Linked DNA regions of Xenopus tropicalis. The protein of the gene in region 5 purifies or fractionates together with the protein of the main gene of each other region. This does not show direct contact. Links are inferred from orthologs where the notes say so. Each region holds a gene or a part of one and is shown on either strand. Other genes may lie near its edges.

Evidence for each region.
Region 1: the proteins of prkag3 (region 5) and pip4p2 purify together in Homo sapiens (affinity purification with mass spectrometry; 3 studies listed by BioGRID and IntAct, with this or other methods). This does not show direct contact. The link is inferred for Xenopus tropicalis from reciprocal best matches to the Homo sapiens genes PRKAG3 and PIP4P2.
Region 2: the proteins of prkag3 (region 5) and pfdn1 purify together in Homo sapiens (affinity purification with mass spectrometry; 3 studies listed by BioGRID and IntAct, counting the BioPlex papers as one, with this or other methods). This does not show direct contact. The link is inferred for Xenopus tropicalis from reciprocal best matches to the Homo sapiens genes PRKAG3 and PFDN1.
Region 3: the proteins of prkag3 (region 5) and prkaa2 purify together in Homo sapiens (affinity purification with mass spectrometry; 3 studies listed by BioGRID and IntAct, counting the BioPlex papers as one, with this or other methods). This does not show direct contact. The link is inferred for Xenopus tropicalis from reciprocal best matches to the Homo sapiens genes PRKAG3 and PRKAA2.
Region 4: the proteins of prkag3 (region 5) and pfdn6 purify together in Homo sapiens (affinity purification with mass spectrometry; 3 studies listed by BioGRID and IntAct, with this or other methods). This does not show direct contact. The link is inferred for Xenopus tropicalis from reciprocal best matches to the Homo sapiens genes PRKAG3 and PFDN6.
Region 6: the proteins of prkag3 (region 5) and prkaa1 purify together in Homo sapiens (affinity purification with mass spectrometry; 3 studies listed by BioGRID and IntAct, counting the BioPlex papers as one, with this or other methods). This does not show direct contact. The link is inferred for Xenopus tropicalis from reciprocal best matches to the Homo sapiens genes PRKAG3 and PRKAA1.

What each region holds. Positions count from the first base shown.
Region 1 is NC_030682.2:126,740,926-126,744,425, reverse strand, and holds part of pip4p2 (type 2 phosphatidylinositol 4,5-bisphosphate 4-phosphatase), read left to right. Parts: intron 1-3,364; coding exon 3,365-3,500. UniProt on the Homo sapiens protein: Catalyzes the hydrolysis of phosphatidylinositol-4,5-bisphosphate (PtdIns-4,5-P2) to phosphatidylinositol-4-phosphate (PtdIns-4-P).
Region 2 is NC_030679.2:31,788,222-31,792,298, forward strand, and holds the start of pfdn1 (prefoldin subunit 1), read left to right. Parts: upstream 1-1,277; 5' UTR 1,278-1,374; coding exon 1,375-1,407; intron 1,408-2,636; coding exon 2,637-2,803; intron 2,804-4,077. UniProt on the Homo sapiens protein: Binds specifically to cytosolic chaperonin (c-CPN) and transfers target proteins to it. Binds to nascent polypeptide chain and promotes folding in an environment in which there are many competing pathways for nonnative proteins.
Region 3 is NC_030680.2:87,584,478-87,588,565, reverse strand, and holds the start of prkaa2 (5'-AMP-activated protein kinase catalytic subunit alpha-2), read left to right. Parts: upstream 1-1,288; 5' UTR 1,289-1,294; coding exon 1,295-1,388; intron 1,389-4,088. UniProt on the Homo sapiens protein: Catalytic subunit of AMP-activated protein kinase (AMPK), an energy sensor protein kinase that plays a key role in regulating cellular energy metabolism.
Region 4 is NC_030684.2:72,102,784-72,106,884, forward strand, and holds the start of pfdn6 (prefoldin subunit 6), read left to right. Parts: upstream 1-1,301; 5' UTR 1,302-1,309; intron 1,310-1,340; exon of another isoform or gene 1,341-1,517; intron 1,518-4,101. UniProt on the Homo sapiens protein: Binds specifically to cytosolic chaperonin (c-CPN) and transfers target proteins to it. Binds to nascent polypeptide chain and promotes folding in an environment in which there are many competing pathways for nonnative proteins.
Region 5 is NC_030685.2:83,071,880-83,074,804, forward strand, and holds part of prkag3 (5'-AMP-activated protein kinase subunit gamma-3), read right to left. Parts: intron 2,785-2,925; coding exon 2,658-2,784; intron 2,533-2,657; coding exon 2,367-2,532; intron 977-2,366; coding exon 939-976; intron 796-938; coding exon 649-795; intron 455-648; coding exon 361-454; exon of another isoform or gene 279-360; intron 1-278. UniProt on the Homo sapiens protein: AMP/ATP-binding subunit of AMP-activated protein kinase (AMPK), an energy sensor protein kinase that plays a key role in regulating cellular energy metabolism.
Region 6 is NC_030677.2:195,924,061-195,926,776, forward strand, and holds the end of prkaa1 (5'-AMP-activated protein kinase catalytic subunit alpha-1), read left to right. Parts: coding exon 1-68; intron 69-1,660; coding exon 1,661-1,905; 3' UTR 1,906-2,216; downstream 2,217-2,716. UniProt on the Homo sapiens protein: Catalytic subunit of AMP-activated protein kinase (AMPK), an energy sensor protein kinase that plays a key role in regulating cellular energy metabolism.

The DNA.
Region 1 (3,500 bases), on a different chromosome or scaffold from region 5:
GCCCTAAAACTACTGTCGCAAACAGTCATTATTGTTGCTAATTAAACTTCACAATTTACAAATAATGTACCAATGTTCTAGTTTACAGTAGAACTTTAGAAGATGTCTTTCTCTGTTACCCTCATGTCCTTTCTCTGTTACCCTCATGTCCTTGTCAAGTGGAGGTAACTTCAGCATCTGTACAGCTTGACATGGTCACATGAAGATAATGGACTTACATGACTGTCATCTATTTATGAATATCAGGCTGGGTTGTGTCATGTAATTTGTATGTTAAAGGATAATGTTCAGGAGATGGCTCTATGTCTCAATCGGCTGTCCACAGGTTGCAATTTCCTTGGTTAAAGAGGAACTGTCAGAGCATTAAAATGCTTTCAACCTATTGGTTGAAGCCAGTGGCTAGTGTTGTGGATACTACAAAAAGATATGAAATATAAGTAGGCCAGAGATCATATAATAAAATACATGAAGCATATGAATCCATATGAATAATAAGGTACACTGTCAGTGACGGCAACAACTCGTAGAATACAGGTCTCTTAAAATCCAGGTTACAACAGGAATATATGAAAAGGTAAAATAGCTAAAAAGGCCCAAATATGTTGAAATCACATTCAAGCATGGGATCACTGTAATACTGACATGCCCAAACATTATGTAGTAAAATATGTAGATATTGTCCTGTGGAACAACAGGAAAACACATGATGTTTCATTACCGATGTCTAAAGTAATTAAACATATTTTTTCCTTTTCTTGAACTGTTATATGGTTTATTTTTATCCCTCAGCCTAACATTTTATTTCTACCAAAGCAGTCAGTTTGGAATTTGGGCATTCCACATTGCTTACTACTGAATTCAATTTGCAGAACCAGGGACATGCTTTTCCAGGCCAACAGTATCTTGGTACAGCCAATGGAACCTGACTTTGTGATTGTCCCATTTGTTTAATAAAGATGGCCTCCATACATGAATTTTCAAGTGCCCTTTGTATCATTTGTTATAAAATGCAACAACCACCTGTCCTTAACTGGGCTGGAACCCAAGTTTCCAAAGGATTCCAAAAGACCTCTTGGCTCTGCTGATGAGAGTAATGCACAAAATTGATCAGCTCATCCTTACCTGGTGTCTCTATGTTTCTTACTATATAAAATGATAATTTTAGTTTCCTACTGTTTTTTTAAATCTGGTTACATTATCCCACATTATATTTGCTTATTATATTCCCTGCACCTACCCACTTGGCTTTTTAAAACCTCTTGATATTTCACAACTGAATGTGCATTATAGCCTACACAAGGAACATTGTGATTGTGTTTTTGTACTGAGGGAGTTATCTTCCCGGGACTACACCTATTAGGCAATGGGCAGCTTAAGGCTGCCATACACGGGCTGATTCTAGCTGCCGATATCAGCCGATATCAGCCCCATAGATTCGTCAGCTTATTTGCCCGTGTAGGGGCACTAACGTTGGGCCTGCCCGAACGATATCTGGCCTGAAATGGGCCAGATATCGATCGGCCAGTTTGAAAAATTTAGTCAGATCAGGGACTGCATTGGCTCGTTGATGCAGCCCCCAAACTGACTGTGCCTATTACTGTCGTTCTAATTCAATCGTTTGGCCCCAAGGCCAAACGATCAAATTTGGCTGAATTTGCCCGATATCGCCCACCCGTAGGTAGAAGATATCGGGAGAAGATCCATTCGCTTGGCAACATTTAGTCCTATATGCACCAAAGAAAGGACTTTAGCTGCCTTTCCTTAGAGAGGGGTCAGTCAGGTGAGGTACATAATGCACACAAGGTGGACTAACAGAGGGATGAAGCAGCATATGAAGTACATGCCGATTTGATAGTATATGTAAGGCAGGAAGAGGAACATGAGTGTGTGAATTATGGCAGAACTGACAAAGCAAGCAAGCAAATAAGCAGTGGCTAGGGCTATAGCACATGAGGCATTTGATCACTATTAGGTGTATTGCTTCATACTGACTAGAATAGGAAGTGCAGAGAGTAAAACATTGGACTTATGATTCAGTACGTTCCATAGCAGAACAGAATCATCGGTAAGGCATTTGAAAAAAGGCAATAAGCTAATGGAGTCATTTTGAAGTATGGCACACCATTATTTAGTATAATTTTAGATTTTAGAGGCATTCTGTTTTAAAATAAATGCTGAGCTGAGGCACTACTGTTGCTATTGTGAAGTCTCAAACGATTATGGTTTTAATCAAGCTACTAATTGGGCTGGAGCCCAAGTTCCCAAAGGATGCCACAGAGGACCTCTGGTCCAGAGAACTCTCCACTCCTCCTTCTTTTTATCCTTGGCTGTCAATGGGAGTAAAACACAGAATTCATCAGCTCATCCTCACCTGGTTACTTACTATGCAAACTGATAAGTTCAATTTCCAGTCAACCCCAATCCCATAATCACCCCCTATACCCACTATTTTAATTGGTTTACATTATCCCACAATGTCTTTCCTATCTGTAATGTTCTTCACATTCCCTGTGCCTGACCTCTTGGCTTTTTAAACCATGAACTGGAAAATCAATGATTAGGGCTATGGTACATAAGGCATATGATCAGCACCACTAGTGGATTGCTTCATACTGACTAGCATGGGAAGCGCTAAGAGTAGACCACTGATCGCCTTTTATCATTTGTGCTTGAGGGTGTTATGTAGTAGAACAGACTCACAGGCATTAGGAAAGGCAAATAGCTAATCATCATTATTTAGTAATAATTTAGACTTTTGGAGGCATTCTGTTTCAAAACAGAGCTGAGGCACTACTGTTGTTATTATGATGTCTCATACTATTACGGTATGTTTTTTTTCTTTTATAATTTAAACCAACAGGCATCATTAGAACCTTTTTAGTTTTACATCTTGGCTTCTTTGACTGAAGAGCGAGTAATTATATAGATTGCTGTATGGAGAGAAATGTATTTGAAAGCTCCATCCCTGCTCTATAAGGATCATTACTTTCAGAATTCATTATGAGCTTGTAGAATTATATATTACAGGTTTCTCTATTCAGTGCTTATTAATAGGGAACAGCAGAAGCACATTTAGCTCTTAAGTATCTCAGGCCTCAGTCAGAGAAAGGTGTGTCAGACAAAGCACAGCTCTCGCAAAACGTGCATTAGAAACAATGGCTGCTAATGGCTCTTGTGATGGCATTAAGTGAACCCAACCCTTGATTATATTGCAAATGTAAGAATAGCAACAAGCAGAATGAATGATTTGTGGCTAATCTCATTCTGTCCTTATTGCTGTTGTGCTTACTGTTTGTACTGCCGTCTGTTCTTTTGTATAACAAATGTTGATGTGTGGTTTACAAGAAATATTGTCTCTGTGCAGCTGAATTGCCACCTCCATATACAGCCATTGCCAGCCCAGATGCCAGCGGAGTTCCTGTGATAAACTGTCGCGTGTGCCAGTCTCTTATTAATTTGGACGGCAAACTTCATCAGCATGTGGTGAAATGCACAGTCTG
Region 2 (4,077 bases), on a different chromosome or scaffold from region 5:
TTGCCCTGGTTTCAGATCTGTCATGTAATGTAAATGAATTACTAATCAGCCTTTCACTGTTACATTTATATTCTGTATATACAGTATATTGTGAGTGGGTCCCTAAGCTCAAGTAAGTGACTGCAACACAGAGCATGTGCAGGGAATCAGCAGAAAAGAAGATGGGGGGGGGGCTACTGGAGGGCATCTTTGGGGGCACAGATCTTCCCTGCAAAAGGGCTGTTTGTGCCTTGGGCTGGTACAGAAACCCATAACATAATTCACAAAATTTCAGCCCTACTTCTTTGTTAAAAAGTGTGCACAAAAGAAATTATTTGTGTACCCTGCCAAGAAGAAATTGGTTTAAGGGCACTGCTGTATGGGGCAGATTCTGCAGTTAACTTGCAGGCCGAGAATCTGCTGTGTGGCAGTGCCCTAAAAATCCCACTGGCATGTTGATGAGGCCTACATGGGTGCCAATTATGTTTATGGCCCTAGGGAAAAAGTGGCTGTTTAGTTCAAAACTAGACAGGTGTCAACCCCCAAGTGCACTGACAAGTGATTCCTGTGTTAGTCCATTCAGTGGTCATCTTTAGTGTTTTACCAGCTGCTAGGGCTGTCCAGTGCAGCCGTAAGCACCAGACTTCTGACCTCGCCCCCCTCGTATACAGCTACACTTTTTTTCTTTTTAATATAGGCACCCCTAGCGCTGCCCTACATAAATATGGCCCATGCACCCATGAGCTAAATCATGCACAGGGGATCTTGTCTGAGCAAGATCACCTTCAGGCTGGGCTTTTAGAACTATCTCCCAAAATAAGAAATATTTCTTTAACGTTGCCCCATTTTCAGCCATGATTTCAATTTATGGCGTTTGTAACTGCTTACAAAATACAGTCTAATTCAAGATTCCAGAAACATATGGGATAAACAGTCTAGAAACTCATAACAATCCTATTGGGTGCGAATCGAATTACAACCCTTCCCCATATATTTCTACATATAACTCCCCAGCCACTGTGTCACTGCCGGTTTAACACGTTGTGTGTAAATCACGCACACATATTTGTTTATATGTTACATCACACGTTACACCCTTGGTTCACTCTACACAAAACATAACTTCTGTGGCAAAACAAACTACTAGCAACCATGGCTCAAATATCTTTAAACAGTAAGAGCTCTCGCTGCTAAGCCACAACTCAACCAATCCTCCAGCAACTATACGCTGGGCGTTTCCCAAGAACGCCCACCAATGCGCCCAGCTTCACCTTAGCAGCTGCCAATTGGAATTGCCAGTAAAGCACCAAGAGCCAATCACAAGGCTGCTTGCGATGACGGCGGTATAGCGTATGGTTTCCTCGCCGCCGCGTTGCGCATGTGCCCGGCTTTAATATGGCTACCCCTGTGGATCTAGAGCTGAAGAAGGTAATAATAATTGTATTTCATTTATACTAATGATTTTTATCATGTACGTGTTTTCATGTAAGTGTATGTTTATATAAGAATTCAGATGCTGGTGAATTCACGGTGCCTGCAGGATGAATGTGCTTTTGGCTGGAGTGCGGCCAGGCAGCTAGTGCATACGCTCGGTGGAATGCGAATGTAGTCGTTTTTGTATTTCTAGTAGGGAACTGTATTTGTAGTAAAGAATTTTGATATCATTTGATTTGTGTGTGTGTATATATATATATATATATATATATATATATATATATATATATATATATATATATATATATATACATATATATACATATACATATACATATACATACACACACATACATACATACATACATACTCACACTCTATAAACCCATAGTTCTATAAACGAACACTTGTTTTTTTCCAAATACATAAAGAAGGGAAATTTAATAAAGTATATTTACTATTAATGTAAGATTCATCCTTTTGGAAGGCACTATCTCCCAGTGCATTGTTTATTTGCAATTAAAACAGTCTTTAGAACGCAAAAACATTGCTGTTAAATCTTTGCTTACACCTAAAATTTGGGGGCTTAAGTGTTTAGTAAGATTGGAGATAAATATCACTGGTGATGTTGCCCATAGCAACCAATCAGATATTTGATTTTCATTTCTAACTTGTAGGTGACTGTTCAAATCTAATTCCTGATTGGTTGCTATGGGCAACATAGCCAGTGATATTTATCTCCAATCTTACTAAACATGCCCCTGTGTCCTACATCTGTGGTTTGCTTGACAGACTTTTTCAGTTCAAGCCCACCTTGGAGCCCAGTTAGTTCATAACAAGGTGTATGGAAATGTTGTATCAGCTATTCAGGAAGGGCTCCCGGAATACCCATTTTCACACCAAATTTCTCTCTAACTGAGCTTCTCGCTGGGTTTTTAGAAAAATAGGCCCTCAAGTGGGCCATACAGGGGCCCATTCAGACCAAGTTGACAACATATCAGCCTGTTTATGAGTAATGTGAGACTGCTTGACTGACATTTGCAAAGGATGCACTTTTACAAGCAGAGTAGTTTAAAAACTGGATAGTTTCTAAAATATTAAAAATATTACCTGCTTACACAATCTTGGGTGAAACTCAGATGTAGAGATTGGCAGTGGCTAGAAAGCATTAGCGAGGACAGCACTTAGATACAAATTGTTTAAAACCATGTTTTGTATTGCAGGCTTTCACAGAGCTTCAAGCCAAAGTTATTGATACCCAGCAGAAAGTTAAACTTGCAGATCTACAAATTGAGCAGCTAAATAGAACAAAGAAGCATGCATATCTTACCAATGCAGAAATTATGAACCTGTCTGATTCAACGCCTATGTATGAAGGAGTAGGAAGAATGTAAGTAATGCTGTTTTGCTTTAATCATACAGTCATGCATTAACTTGTCTTTTTAAGTGTAAATTGTAAAGAAAAGTAGACCTTCGGCCCACTCTCCCCTTCTCTGTTCACTCAATTTCTTTAATCTCTTAATTACGCAGTTTTACATAATATTATCTATCCTTTCCTCCATTTCTTCAGTTTCTTTTCATATAGGATTGAGTAATGGCCATGGTATACGCATACAAGGCAAATGGTTGGGTGAGCAGGAGGGCCCACTGACACTTGGGCCACCGGGAGTTTTCCTTGTATCCTGGTGGGCCAGTCAGACACTGCACAGACCTACCGATCCCTTCGAGGGCCAAAAGACAGAAAAAATACAAGGGACCATATACTCTATGGATGCCTTTCTGTTGTTCCTTGTATTCATAGGGAATGAAGGGAACAGTTCCTCATCTTCCATACACAGGCTGTAATGGGTTCTTAGCAGGTTACATATTTATACCCACCCAAATGACAAACCAATCAAAGTACATGGATATAGGCTGCCACGCACATACTGAAAATCGTTAACTGTGTTCCTATGTAATCCCCATTTGACTGTGCCAATGACTGTATTTATAGACTGGCTATTGTTAAAAACCAAGAACTTTTTGGTTTTCTTACATAACCATTGCTGTGGAGAATAGAAAGTACTTATTCATAGGCGAATGATTCAATATTAACACATTTCTAAAGGTGGAAAGCATTAAAGGCCAAAAAAAATGCATTAGTATTTCAGATGCTTTAAATGTTCCGTATGCCTTTAGAACAGAAAGTCTACATTTAGGAGGGCGTTATAGTCACTAGTATAAGTGGAACTTTATAGTTTAGGTAATCCATTGATCTCAGGGAACATGCTTATCTGCAGCTGGGAAGTCCATATATATTAAAATTTAGTTGAATGCGCTTGAATGCACTTGTGCAATAGCCCTCTACAGAGGGTTCTGAACAGCAACTTCATTGGAATAGGCCATACATAGGCAGATTTAAGTCAAGCACCAGCCTAGGGCACAGAACTCTTTTGTTTGTCTGTTTCCCCTTACTTCGGGCCCCAGTTGACTGGGAGAACTGCCAGAAGTCAGAGAGAGCAGCCGCTATTTTGCACTCGCTCGGGGGGGGAGTGGGTGCAGTATAGCCGTCGCTTACTCTTCCAGTCAGTGTGCGCTCGTTACAGGAGGGGTGGGCACGGAGCAGTGCGAGCTGGGGGGGGGGGGGGGCAAAGTTCTAAATTCGCCTGTCATTGATTTAAGCTC
Region 3 (4,088 bases), on a different chromosome or scaffold from region 5:
GGTCTAAAGGTGGCCATACACGCACCAATAATATCGTAATTCGGTGCGTGTATGGTATTTTGGCCGAGTCGACCGATATCGCAGGAAGCTGCTGATATCGGCCGACTCGCCGATCGGACCAGTTTGAAAATTTTGATCGGGCGCCATAGAAGGTGCCTGACCAAAATCTCCCTTCAGCGCTGAATCGGCAGAAGGAGGTAGAAATCCTATTGTTTCTACCTCCTTACCTGCCGATTCAGCCCTGAATGGTGTGTGGCGGATCTGACGATGTTTCGTGCGACCATCGGTCAGATCGCCACGTGTATGGCCAGCTTAAGGCTGCAGGATTTTAGGGGCAGCATGCAACCAAGCCGCATCTATATTGGTTCCGAAGCACTACGGATGTGCAGGAGATTTGATTTAAATCTCTGCTCGCCAATCAAGCTCCCCAGTGCTCTGTTCCCAACAAGGGAAATTTGCGTATGCATGCACAATGGGAAGGGTGGCAGATGTGCCAAGCAGTGACAGGGGCCTAAGGATGCCCACTAAATCTGGGCCTGATTTTACAGGACTCATTTAATACAAGACTTGCTTTCTGGATTCCGCCAGCAGGGCACAGAGTTCAGGTGCCAAACTGCACATGGGTAGTGATCTGTCTCTCTTTGCCTTGGTGAAATATTTATTAAACCATGGAAAAATTTTCAATTTAAAGGCAAAGGGTTGTTTTACCACTGCTTTTTTTCTGCACAAAATACTTTGAAGTCAATGGCTATTTTTTGCTGCTTTTTTTTTTTCTTTTCACACAAAATATCTTCTTTTCTTGCAACATTTTTCTCACGCTTTTTTGCTTCAAACATTTTTGTGACTTTTAACTTTCCACCTAGCCCACATGTAATATTTACTTGTTCTCCAGATGTGCTCCTCCTTCCTATGCCAGAATGGATTGCCAAATTGCCTCTCACTGTATTTTGTTTGTGAGGACCATAGGGCTCCTTCCCTTGTGCCTAGCCTTTCATAAATAAACCCAAACGAATTGAACATGATATGTTATAGTTAGCTCATTTGGACTGCAAAAAAAATAGAAAAGCGAATTTAAATTCGAATCCAAGCGACGTGTGTTTCAGTACCCTGGGCAGCAACTGGTCATTGCTCCTGCGATTTAGGACCTTGCAGGGCTGCCTGCTCTTGCACGGCATGAAGCCACGCCCACTGGGCTGTCCCTGCAACGGGCTCTGTCAGGATCCAGCCTTTGGCACGCACCTGTCATTGCCTGTGCCAGCTGCATTGTGGGTACACAGACGAACAGAATGCAAAGATGGCTGAGAAGCAGAAGCACGATGGACGGGTTAAAATAGGACACTACATCTTGGGTGACACGCTAGGAGTTGGCACCTTCGGAAAAGTGAAAAGCTGAGTATATTCTCCAGAGCTTTGCTATGTATAGATATACTTTCAGCATCATCAGAACCTGTTTGAAAGCAGAACATGATGCTCCTTGAGTAGAAGGTGCAGGGAGATGAACTGATTGAAGTGCATGGATCATGCAAGCACTTTTTATGAGTGTAAGGTACAGAGGGTGAAGCCTACACAGAGTGCAGTGTAACATTACACAGTTAACATGGGCAGCATCTTTGCTTAATGATCTGTTATTCCTGCAGTTTTTTTTTATTCTTGCTGGGTGCTTCCCAAGGGATGCTGCAGGGGTTAGTTTAACCTCTAAAGCCCTACTGTGGGAGTTAAGGTGACATTGAGGGCAGGAGAAAGGGCAGTGGCAGTGTCTTTATTTATGTACTGTATTATAAACAATAAGCAGTGCAAACAGGAATTGTAGTAAAATGTCAGATATGTGTGACTGCCCGAGTCAGCCATTGTGTGTGTGTGTGAGTTGCTGTACACTTCCAGAAGCTGTGCTGGTGCTAGGGATTTAGTAACTGTGCTGCTGGATGGCAGTGTGCCAGTGGAAAATACATTCTCATGGATTGGGAAGGAACTATTTTTCAATTTTTAATAAGAGGCTGATTGGCTGCTTTTCAGCTTATGTGCAAACTGTTCTTGTTGAACCCAGCATCAAGGAATTGTTACTTGTCAGTATAGACAGGGTGAAAACCCGACAAATCTCTTTTTCACTGCCAATTTATTTGCCAGTGTTTTTAAAAAAAAAGTTGTAAAGGCATCTCTTTAGGACATGTACAGGCCACTGTTATACTTACTTACCTATTGCCATGTAGTAGCTGCGCAATTGTTAATACAATAGCAGTCACATGGATTTCCAGTAGATTTCTATTCACTAGGAAAGTTGTAGCATTTTATTTGAACCATATAGCAATCCTGCATTTAAGTCAAGCAGGTCATTAAAAAAAATCTGCACATTAAAAATGATTAAGACATTGCAAAGTGGTAAGAGGAAATCTGTTGTAATCTATTAAAACCCATCAATCTTTAAGGAATATTTTAGTGCCAAGTTACCTTACAACTGGAGGACAGGAGCACCCACAACACTTTCTTTCTTTGGAACCTGATTTTTAAGGCATTGGAAATGTAGTACTTTCAAGTGATTTCAGTCAAATAAGAAGACCTTTCAGAAATTTGGCCTGATTCAGTTTCATGGTAAAAACATATTTAATGCTTTATCTTGTCCAGACTAGAACCCTTGCGGTAGGCAATAAGTTTCTCATTAAGCTAAATATGGCCATTTGTGTCAAAAACCACAGGGGAAACATCAAAGATCAAAACAAGATGCTATATACCTGTTGCAAATGACCATGCACATAACAGTGTATTGGAAGGACCAGTAGAACCCTTAAAGAAGAAGTAAAGGTTCAGTCACTGGGGGGAGCCAAATATTATGCACCCCCAGTGATTGTAATCCTTTACCTGATACCCCAGACCAGTGCTCCTGTTATCAGAAAACTGAACTGGCCAGGCGTACATGCAAGCAAGCGATCCCCTTTTTTCTTCTTTTTTTCTTCAAAAAAGACAGCTTTTTTGTTAAAGGGGTAGTTAATCTTTTAGTATTTTGTAGACAGTGACATTCTGAGACAATATGCAATTTGTCTTCATTTTCCGTTATTTAGCTTTTATTTAGCTCTCCAAACTGGTATTTCAGCAGCTATCTGGTTGCTAGGGTATGATTTTCCCTAGCAACCAGGCAGTGGTTTGCGTGAGAAGCTGTTCTGTACCAGGAGTACTGGCCTGGGGTATCAGGTAAGTGATTACAATGATGGGTGATTACAATCACAGGGGGGCACCCACCCAGTGATTAAACATTTCCTTCTTCAAGGTGAGGATTTAAAAGCATGTTAACAAAATTTAGAAGAGTTTAACAACACAATGGGGCTTATTTACAAAGTATAGCACAGGATGCATGTTGCAAAACTCAAGATGTTAAACCAACATTTTTTTATATCTTTTGCACACTGCCTTGATGCAGGTGTTGGCTCTCCAGAATGGAGTGCAAAGACTTGCATTCCCCCTATGAATAGAGGTCTGTCTGTGTTCTGCAACAGTGTTTTCATGAGGGATGGGCACGAGAGGCATGAAAGCATCCTCTCTGCTGCCCCCTAACTTGCACATCATTCAGATACGAAAGTTAGGGAGATGTGGCAGGCACAAGTTGCAGCAGATCCGTGTACTTAAGGCTTTAATTAGATGTAAGAAATATATCATGCACTTTCATTTCCATATTGCGCTTACTTTGTATATAGTTTGTATGCATAGTTTAAATTCTAGCTATTGCTATAAAGTGCAGAAAATAGAAATCAGTAGTGCAGTAGCATATGCTGATACTGAAATAAATACTGAAAATTATCCATATTGTTGGGAATGCTTAACTGGCAAGATTATAGAAGCTCTTGCAAAGAAAACAAACTTAGTAATAAATCCATTTTTGAATCAACAATTATGCAGGCACTTAGTCCCCCATTCCACACAAGCACAAAGCATCATATATAAATTCATGGATGCTGGTGCACATTACACAATATACTGTATAGTTACCTAAGAACATAGCTTCTCCCAAGGATGCACAACCTGTGAAATGCACTGTGCTCTATTTCTGGCATCCTGGGATTATGTTTTTTGTTTGTATGCATTGCAAAGACACCACTGTC
Region 4 (4,101 bases), on a different chromosome or scaffold from region 5:
AAACCTTTGCGACTTTGCATGATTTTGGAAGCCTCCCATAGGAATCAATGGCACTCTGCAGCTCCAACCCGGCCCAAGGAAAGTCTCCCATAGGGCTCAATGGCACTCTGCAGCTCCAACCTGGCCCAAGGAAAGTCTCCCATAGGGCTCAATGGCACTCTGCAGCTCCAACCTGGCCCAAGGAAAGCCTCCCATAGGGCTCAATGGCACTCTGCAGCTCCAACTTGGCCCAAGGAAAGTCTCCCATAGGGCTCAATGGCACTCTGCAGCTCCAACCTGGCCCAAGGAACGTCTCCCATAGGGCTCAATGGCACTCTGCAGCTCCAACCCGGCCCAAGGAAAGTCTCCCATAGGGCTCAATGGCACTCTGCAGCTCCAACCTGGCCCAAGGAAAGTCTCCCATAGGGCTCAATGGCACTCTGCAGCTCCAACCTGGCCCAAGGAAAGTCTCCCATAGGGCTCAATGGCACTCTGCAGCTCCAACCCGGCCCAAGGAAAGCCTCCCATAGGGCTCAATGGCACTCTGCGGCTCCAACCTGGCCAAAGGAAAGTCTCCCATAGGGCTCAATGGCACTCTGCAGCTCCAACCTGGCCCAAGGAAAGTCTCCCATAGGGCTCAATGGCACTCTGCAGCTCCAACCTGGCCCAAGGAAAGTCACGATACCAAAGCTTGAATGAATCTGGAACTTTCGTACTCGGCGCAACGGCTACAAAAAAGTCACGACAATTCGCGCAAATCGTAATGGCTACGAAAAAGTTGCGACAATTTACGAAAAAGTTGCAACGGCTACGAAAAAAGTCACGACAATTTACAAAAAAAATCTAAAAATACCGATCATTATGAAAAAAAAACGCATTCGGGCGCCTTCGGAGCGTTCGTGGATTAGTAAATGTGCCCCTATGACTGTCTCTGCCTACACTAGTATCTAGTTCCCGCACTGAAACACAAGGCACAAGACACTCAGAAGACGAGAGCAGAAAGAATACACGCACCAAAGGAAAAGTGGCTCTCCTCTCTGTTTCTTTCCAAGATATAAAGTAAGCAACACAAGCATTAGCAGAGGTACTTACCGTTACAGGATCCAACAAAGGCACATTCAACCACACCTGCGCGTTTTTATTTTGGGTGTGTCTGGCTAAAGATGGCAAGATTCAAACCAGGGGAAAAACCTCTCAGGAACGCCCAATGCGCCCTATAGCAACCAAGCAGCGCTCCAATAGGATGGGGCGGAAAGGCGTCAGGGGAAGCGCTCTGATCACTTCCGGGTGAGAGGCGGCTTCAGCTGCACGTTGGTTCTGACAGGACACGGTAATTGTGTTTATTCGGATGGGTAGCGGCAGGGAATGGTTTGTTATACTGAGTGCTGCTGTGTAATAGGGGAACTCTGTGCGTTTGCTTCATCTCCCGACGTGTAGCGCGGTGTCGCCTTGTGCCCGGCATGTTACACAATGAATAGCGCAGAGTCGCTGGTGTAGCCTGTATTCTGTCTCTAGGGCCGTGTGTGCCTCTTGCATTGGTAATTTGTAGCTTTTGTATCTAAAACTGTGTTCAGTGTATTTACCCATTTGTACAGCACTGCAGGATGTGTATGTATATTTATATATTGCTACCTATGTACACAGCGCTGTACAACAGGTACATAGGGGATAATCCAATCATTATATACAATCATTACATACAAAGTACAATAATATAAATAAATACAAAGTTTAGTTGCTTTAAAGGAGAAGGAAAGGCTAATAAAGAGTTAATCTCAAGCTGCAGGCATACCCTCAGTTGTCTCAATAGTGCCCTTAAGTCTCCCCATATTTCACCTGTTCAGATGATCAGAAGCCAAACAGGAAGAAAAAACTCTGAGCTGTGTAAAGAAAGTTCCCATAATGCCTCGCTCCAGCACAGACACCCAGACCAAGTGAACATGCTCAGTTAGACTATGAGTCCGCTTCCTGCTGATTGGCTCAGATTCACATTCCTAAGGCGGGGAATGAGTTATTAGCATTTTTGAGGGAGGGGGTAGCAGGAGAGAGCAGGAAGCAGAAAGCTGCGTGTCTCTGGCAGAGTAAAACAGACACAGCTAATCTTTTTTCAGAGAATTCAGTGCAGCGTTTCTGTGAGTGCTTATGGCTGTATTTACATAGACCTTTCTGATAAAGCTTACTTCGTTTTTACCTTTCTTTCTCCTTTAAAGATTGCCCAGAGTTATGTGTTAGAGAGAGAAGAGGATGGAGGTACCTGTCCTGTAGAGCTTACAGTCTAAATGGTTGGGAATTAGGTTATATGTTATAGGAGGGCTCAGAGAGGTAGTGTTTGAGTTTAGTTCTCAAGAGACTGACAGTTGTGGATCTTAGATAGCAAGGATCCGGCTAGCAGTTAAAAGATTATTTTAAGGTGGACAACACCTGTAAATCTGCAGATCAAGCATCACAATCTTTGATTCTATATAGTTCCATGTATCTGTTCAGGGTCTGTGGATTGTAAGTGCATCCTGCTCCCTCATAGTTGTACTCACAACCCCTCATGGTTGGGAGTTTAGGGTTGAAATGAAAGTAATGCACTGCTAGGGTTCGGAAAATCCTTTTTCTGTCTCAGGTCAGAATAGTTCTAATTCGTATGTATGTATAACCAGGCCCAGACTGGCAATCTGTGGGTTCTGGCAAATGCCAGAGGGGCCGCTGTAAGATGCCATAGACAGTCACTATTTATTTAGAGCAGTGTCTGTTTGTGCTGCCTTAGGGCTCTGGCACACGGGGAGATTAGTCACCCGCGACAAATCTCCCTTGTCACAGGCAACTAATCTCCCCGAACTACCATCCCACCGGCGAAAATGTTAGCCGCCGGTGGGATGGCACACGCTGAGCAGGTGATTTCGGCAAATGACGGCGTAGTGTTCTACCGACAGTAACCTTTGTGGCCCCAGCTCTCTTCTGGGCTGATTCCTCACCTTTCTTATCATCAGTGATACCCCACGAGGTGAGATCTTGCATGGGCCCCAGTCCTAGGAAAACTGACGTCTTTAGCCTTTTCCATTTTCTAACAATTAATCCAACAGTTGATCTATTTTCACCAAGCTGCTTGGCAATTGCCCCGTAGCCCTTTCCAGCCTTGTGGAGGTCCACAATTTTGTCTCTGGTGTCTTTGGACAGTTCTTTGGTCTTGCCCATGGTAGTAGTTGGAGTCTGACTGACTGTCGGGTGGACAGGTGTCTTTAAAGAGCTCAGACAGGTGCTACTAATTTAATTAATGAGTGGAGTAGAGGTGGACTATTTAAAGGCAGAGTAACAGGTCTTTGAGAGCCAGAATTCTTGCTGATTGCCAGGTGTTCAAATACTTATGTGCAGCAGTGCAATACAAATACATTCTTTAAAAATCATATAATGTGATTTCCTGAATTTTTCTTTAAATGCTGTCTCTTACAGTGGGAATGCACCTATAATGTGAATTTCAGACTCCTCCATGATTTCTAAGTGGGAGAACTTGCAAAATTGCAGGGTGTTAAATACTTATGTTCCTCACTGTATATACAGTTGCAAGAAAAAGTATGTGAACCCTTTGGAATTATATGGATTTATGCACAAATTGGTCATAAAATATAATCTGAGCTGCATCTACGTCACAACAATAGACAAAACTTTTTCTTGCAAAAAGAAATATATATATATATACACACACTCAGAGCCATAAAACAGCCCCAAGTATTCAGATTCTAAATCCAGTCAATTTACTACACCCCAAAATTTCCACTACATGTCAAAAGGACCCCAAAACCAATACGTATAAATACACAGGCAGAACAGTGGCTTCAGACAGGACAGTTCTAGTCACTTTTTCCATTTTTCCAAAAGAACAGTAAAACCAAACAATGAAACTGTTTTAAAGTAATTCAGATATAATGTGTTGCTGCCCTGATCTTCTAAAGGCAAAGACACATGGGGCGATTAGTCGCCGCAACTTTTAAAAAAGTCTTTTCTGCCATAGGTTAAAATAGAAGTTGCTGCAACTAAACACCTGCGAGTTTTCACTACGCAGATTAGTCGCCACAATTTTTTAAAAAGTTGTGCCGAGTAATCACCCGTGTGTCTTTGCCCTAAAAGTTGTGTGTT
Region 5 (2,925 bases):
CCTGGGTATGTACCACTTTCCAAGGGGGGTTCCCAATGTGGCCAAGTAGACTTGGTTGTTTGGCTGATGTAGGGGCCCAAGGACAGAAACAGGGATCCACACAAGTGTAGGGGTTAACATAAGGGGTCTCTGAGTTGTGGGGTTCACACTGCCAAGTACAAAGGAAGGGGGTGTTCATCAGAGCCAAGTCAGACACACGGCAGAGAGTGCAGAGAGGAGCAGTGCAGACAGTCTCCAGCACCCACGTTGCTCCTGACTGCCGCCAATGGGGAGCCTACCTGTGCCTCTGAGAGGAAGAGGAGGTTCAGGGTGAAGGTAGAAAAGAGCCTTCCCAGGGTTAGGAATTAAGGGCATCAATACCTGCGGGAGTGAGCACCAGTGCCTGCAGAATGTCAGAGAGAGACACAATACCCCGAGGCCGATGGTCTTCATCCACCAGAACCAGGCGATGAATCTGGGATTGGGAGGAAGAGGAATGACAGGAGATCCCATAGGATTGTTTGAGAGAAACTTAGAACATTCTGGGTTTTGTTTCCATAACCATGTGTCTTTATTATTATTATTATGGAGCTCCTCCCTCTGCAGGCTGGGGGAGGTACTACAGCTTGAAGAGCACCCAGAGCCCACCTTTGGTATAATGGTACTTACCTGTTCTCGGACAATTCGATCAATGACCACCTCCAGACTTTCATGGGGGTAACACATGAGGACCCCCTCAATACTCAGAGAACGCAAGCGCAGGGCATCTCGTACGCTGATATCCAGGTTGTTATAGATCTTCTGTGCCGCAAGGTGCTGAAAGGGAAGGGACAAATGTACCCAGATGTGGCACCCAGGGCAGGGTGCTGTCTATAAGCTAAGGCTACAGGGAAAGCTCAGCCTCTCTGGGGGGCAAGGTTATGGCTCTGCATGCATTATGGGAAGGGAAGGATACTCACTATTACATCAAAGCGGGAATAGAGTCCGACCACCTGCCCTGCAAAACAAGCACATAAAGGTTATACTGAGGGGAATGGAACACTGTGGGGCAAGGAGAAAAAATATGGACTGTTTGGCCCTGGTGTTGTGCATAGTACTGCTTGTTGGCCTAGGCATTGGCCATAGTAATGTGGGGACAAGCTGGCCTGGGCATTGGCCATAGTAATGTGGGGATAAGCTGGCCTAGGCATTGGCCATAGTAATGTGGGGACATGCTGGCCTAGGCATTGGCCATAGTAATGTGGGGATAAGCTGGCCTAGGCATTGGCCATAGTAATGTGGGGACATACTGACCTGGGCATTGGCCATAGTAATGTGGGGACATGCTGGCCTAGGCATTGGCCATAGTAATGTGGGGATAAGCTGGCCTAGGCATTGGCCATAGTAATGTGGGGACATGCTGGCCTAGGCATTGGCCATAGTAATGTGGGGACATGCTGGCCTAGGCATTGGCCATAGTAATGTGGGGACATACTGACCTGGGCATTGGCCATAGTAATGTGGGGACATGCTGGCCTAGGCATTGGCCATAGTAATGTGAGGATAAGCTGGCCTGGGCATTGGCCATAGTAATGTGGGGACATACTGACCTGGGCATTGGCCATAGTAATGTGGGGACATGCTGGCCTAGGCATTGGCCATAGTAATGTGGGGATAAGCTGGCCTAGGCATTGGCCATAGTAATGTGGGGATAAGCTGGCCTGGGCATTGGCCATAGTAATGTGGGGACATACTGACCTGGGCATTGGCCATAGTAATGTGGGGATAAGCTGGCCTAGGCATTGGCCATAGTAATGTGGGGATAAGCTGGCCTGGGCATTGGCCATAGTAATGTGGGGATAAGCTGGCCTGGGCATTGGCCATAGTAATGTGGGGATAAGCTGGCCTGGGCATTGGCCATAGTAATGTGGGGATAAGCTGGCCTAGGCATTGGCCATAGTAATGTGGGGATAAGCTGGCCTGGGCATTGGCCATAGTAATGTGGGGAAAAGCTGGCCTGGGCATTGGCCATAGTAATGTGGGGACATGCTGGCCTAGCCATTGGCCATAGTAATGTGGGGATAAGCTGGCCTAGGCATTGGCCATAGTAATGTGGGGATAAGCTGGCCTGGGCATTGGCCATAGTAATGTGGGGACATACTGACCTGGGCATTGGCCATAGTAATGTGGGGACATGCTGACCTGGGCATTGGCCATAGTAATGTGGGGACAAGCTGGCCTGGGCATTGGCCATAGTAATGTGGGGATAAGCTGGCCTGGGCATTGGCCATAGTAATGTGGGGACAAGCTGGCCTGGGACAGGTAGATAGTAAAGCAGGAACAGCCTGGCCTGGGGTTTTGCATAGTTCTGCAGGGACAATATAGTCTGGGGGAGTCACTGCACTCACCAGATTCATTCACCACGGGGAGGGCAGAAACTCTCCTCTCTACAAAGATTTCCAGTGCGTTGTAGACAGAGGAGGAGTCCTGCACGACTGCCACATCCCTAAAGGTGCCGATGCCCAACTCCAGGATGGTCTTCTGCAAGAACCGTGGCCTTGGGAGAGTGTCTCCCTGCAAAGTGCATTGTGGGACATGAACAGTGTGAGCATTTGTACTGTATATACCCACTACTTACTAACTGTATGTACTACAGGCACAGGTACTACAGGCACAGGTACTACAGGCGCCCGACTTACAAACAGGTGGAGGAACTTGAGGAGACGTTTGTGCGTAAGGATATGCAGGATGTTTCCGGATATGGGATCCATTACTGGCAGCCGGTGGATCTTATTCTTGATAAGTGAATATACAGCGTGGAAAAGGCTGAGAGAGAGTCAATAAGATGATTAATGGCGTCTTATCTGCAACTTGGAGTGATATCCCCCCCCCCTCACCCCCAGCAGCCGATCAGCAGAACAATGGGAAGGGAGCAAGATAGCAGCTCCCAGTAGGTATCAGAATAGC
Region 6 (2,716 bases), on a different chromosome or scaffold from region 5:
TAAGATGAGCCTCCAGCTGTACCAAGTGGATAGCAGAACTTACCTGCTGGATTTCCGCAGCATTGACGGTATGTGACATTTCTGTGCTACTTTCGGAATAGTAATGCCAAATGTTTGGCTGCTGATGCCTTTTATGGTTTTTATTACCTTCTACCAGCCTGTCACAGAGGCAGTCGCAGCAATAAAACTCTGGGTTCCCATCATTTCCGTCAGTTGTTTATATTAATTACTTAAGGGCCTTTGTCTAAACCCAGAATGGCACTCTACCTCTGAAATTGTACTTCATGCAGTAGCTTATGTATTACCTCACTAACAGTAATGTTTGTTCACGTCAGTGTTAAAGGAGCCTCATGTCCTAGTATTATATTTTACCTTATTTTAAATGATTAGTGCCCCAGAAACATGGTTTTAAACTGTTTTTCTTAAAAATGCTATAATATTAGAGATGAAGTGAGACCTGGGCTTGCCCTTTCCTTCCTTCCCAGGATATGGTCATAACTGTGAGTGACAATCAGAACTTTGCTGCAGCAGCCCGAGTCCTGCCATTGTCTCTCTGCTCCCAGCCCTATCAAACTGTGTCAGAATGCTCCTGCTCACAGTGTTTAGTGGAGCTGCAACTTTCCTCCAAGCTGTAATTAAGATGGCCACACACAGCGCAGATTTTGGCTTCCTATTCAGATCCTTCATTCCTAGTGGCACCTTATCTGCCCATGTATGAGGCACTCTGTCTTGCTTATCCAGCAAAAATTGGGCACATATTCATCAGACGGGTTTAAAAAAATCTTGTTGGGGCGATGACCGTATCTGGTCATTGATGGGTGTCCTTGCCCCAATGGCCTGTATCCCCGACGTTAAACTAGCAGATCAGCCCCAGATCATTCAGTGTGTGGCCTGCTTTACTGTGTCCCAATATCAGCTGTTAGATCTCATTCCAGAACTTTTATTCGGCCATTTTCTGCTGTGTATAACAGCCTCCAACAGTAGTTCCTAGTATACTATTGTGTGGCCTGTCTGCTGCTAGCAGCAACTCCCTTCAACCTTACATTGAGCAAATTGCAATTTATATATTAAGTGGCCTTCAGCAATCACAGAAAACTTACCAGCTCTGAATAGAAGCAGTAGCATCTCCATTATAGGTGGACAGCTACCTTCTCATTATCCTATAGCGCAAATCTGCTCCCCCAGCTGAAACAATCGGGTTAAGGTGAAAGTGCTAAAAGAAAGGCACAATTAAATTTTTTTGCTTTTATTACTATTTAACAAAGCTGGAAGCAGGGAGACATTTAGGAGCAGAGGGACATGGACTACTATTGTAGCATTCTGCTCACCACATTATGATAATGGGAGTCTGAAGGTGAACATACATGGGCAGATTGAAGCTGCTGATTCGACCACTTCAGGCCAGGTTGGCATCTTATCTGCGCATGTATAGGACTCTCCAACAGGCATACCTGACCAGTATATGACCAAAAATCAGCCTGATATGTGGCAGGTGTGAAAATCCTGTAGGGGCCAGTTCATGGTCTCCTCCCACTCTAAAAATATACAGATTAATTGTCACTATATATCCTGCACTCTATAAATAACAGATAATTCTAGTAACAACATACATTTTACACCATAAATTGCTGGAAATAATTAAGCCTATTGTTCTTTTCAGATGAAGTAACTGAGGCCAAGTCGGAAAGCGCCACCCCTAGGCGATCAGGCTCCATTAGCAATTATCGACCTCCAAAAAATGACTCGGATCCTGAAATTCAAGCGAAGTCTTCAGACGGCTCAGGGCCTTCATCTTTAACCTCATCAGTGGACTCTTCCAATGCCGACCTAGTCCCCAGGCCAGGAAGCCATACCATAGAATTTTTTGAAATGTGTGCAAATTTAATAAAAATCCTTGCACGATAGGCCTCCGGCAACATAAGCGAATCCATATCGAGCAATAAGCATGCAGTGATCTGTAGCCAAATGCTTCCAGTCTCAATCCAGTTATGACCGACCAACAGCTGAAAGCTCTTGTCACAATGCAATTTGCACATACGATTCCAAGACTATGTTAGACCTCAATCCGTAGTGTGATCATTATTTTTAATAGTTCCTTGTCAACGCATATAAATTGTATATATTTTTCAGGTTGACAAAAGTTTTAATTGCACATTTTATCGAGCACTGGGCTACTTTGCATATTCCCAAGATAAACCTCAACATCTTGTCTTAAATTTGTTATTTTTTTTCTTGTCTTGTGAAATACATAGAAGTGATCACATGATAATTTAGTGGTTTAAGCATGCCGGCCATAATTCTGCAGCTTAAACTCCACTGGGATAGATCAGTCTGGTGAATAAGGGCAGTAAATGTGGATATCAAAAGGCAATTTGTACAAATATATAATAAAAAAAGGATTTTTTTTTTTTTTTTTTTAAGGATAAGGACTCATGTATGTACTTTATGGCTAGCTATTATTTACATGTAACTTTCACTAATATATGGGGACGTTAGAACAATCCATTGGCTGTTTATTGTTCCTAAGCTGTTTAGCTTCCTTTGCAACCTCAAAGCTAGAGGTCCAAGCCCTCGATGCTCTCCCATGGCTGATTTACAAATGACATAGCGCTTGGAATGTAATCTATATTACAAATTGGGATAATTGTCCCATTGCATAGAAAGTGGTCGGATCAGACTGGCCTACCAGTGGAGCTAGACCAGGGGTGGGCAAACT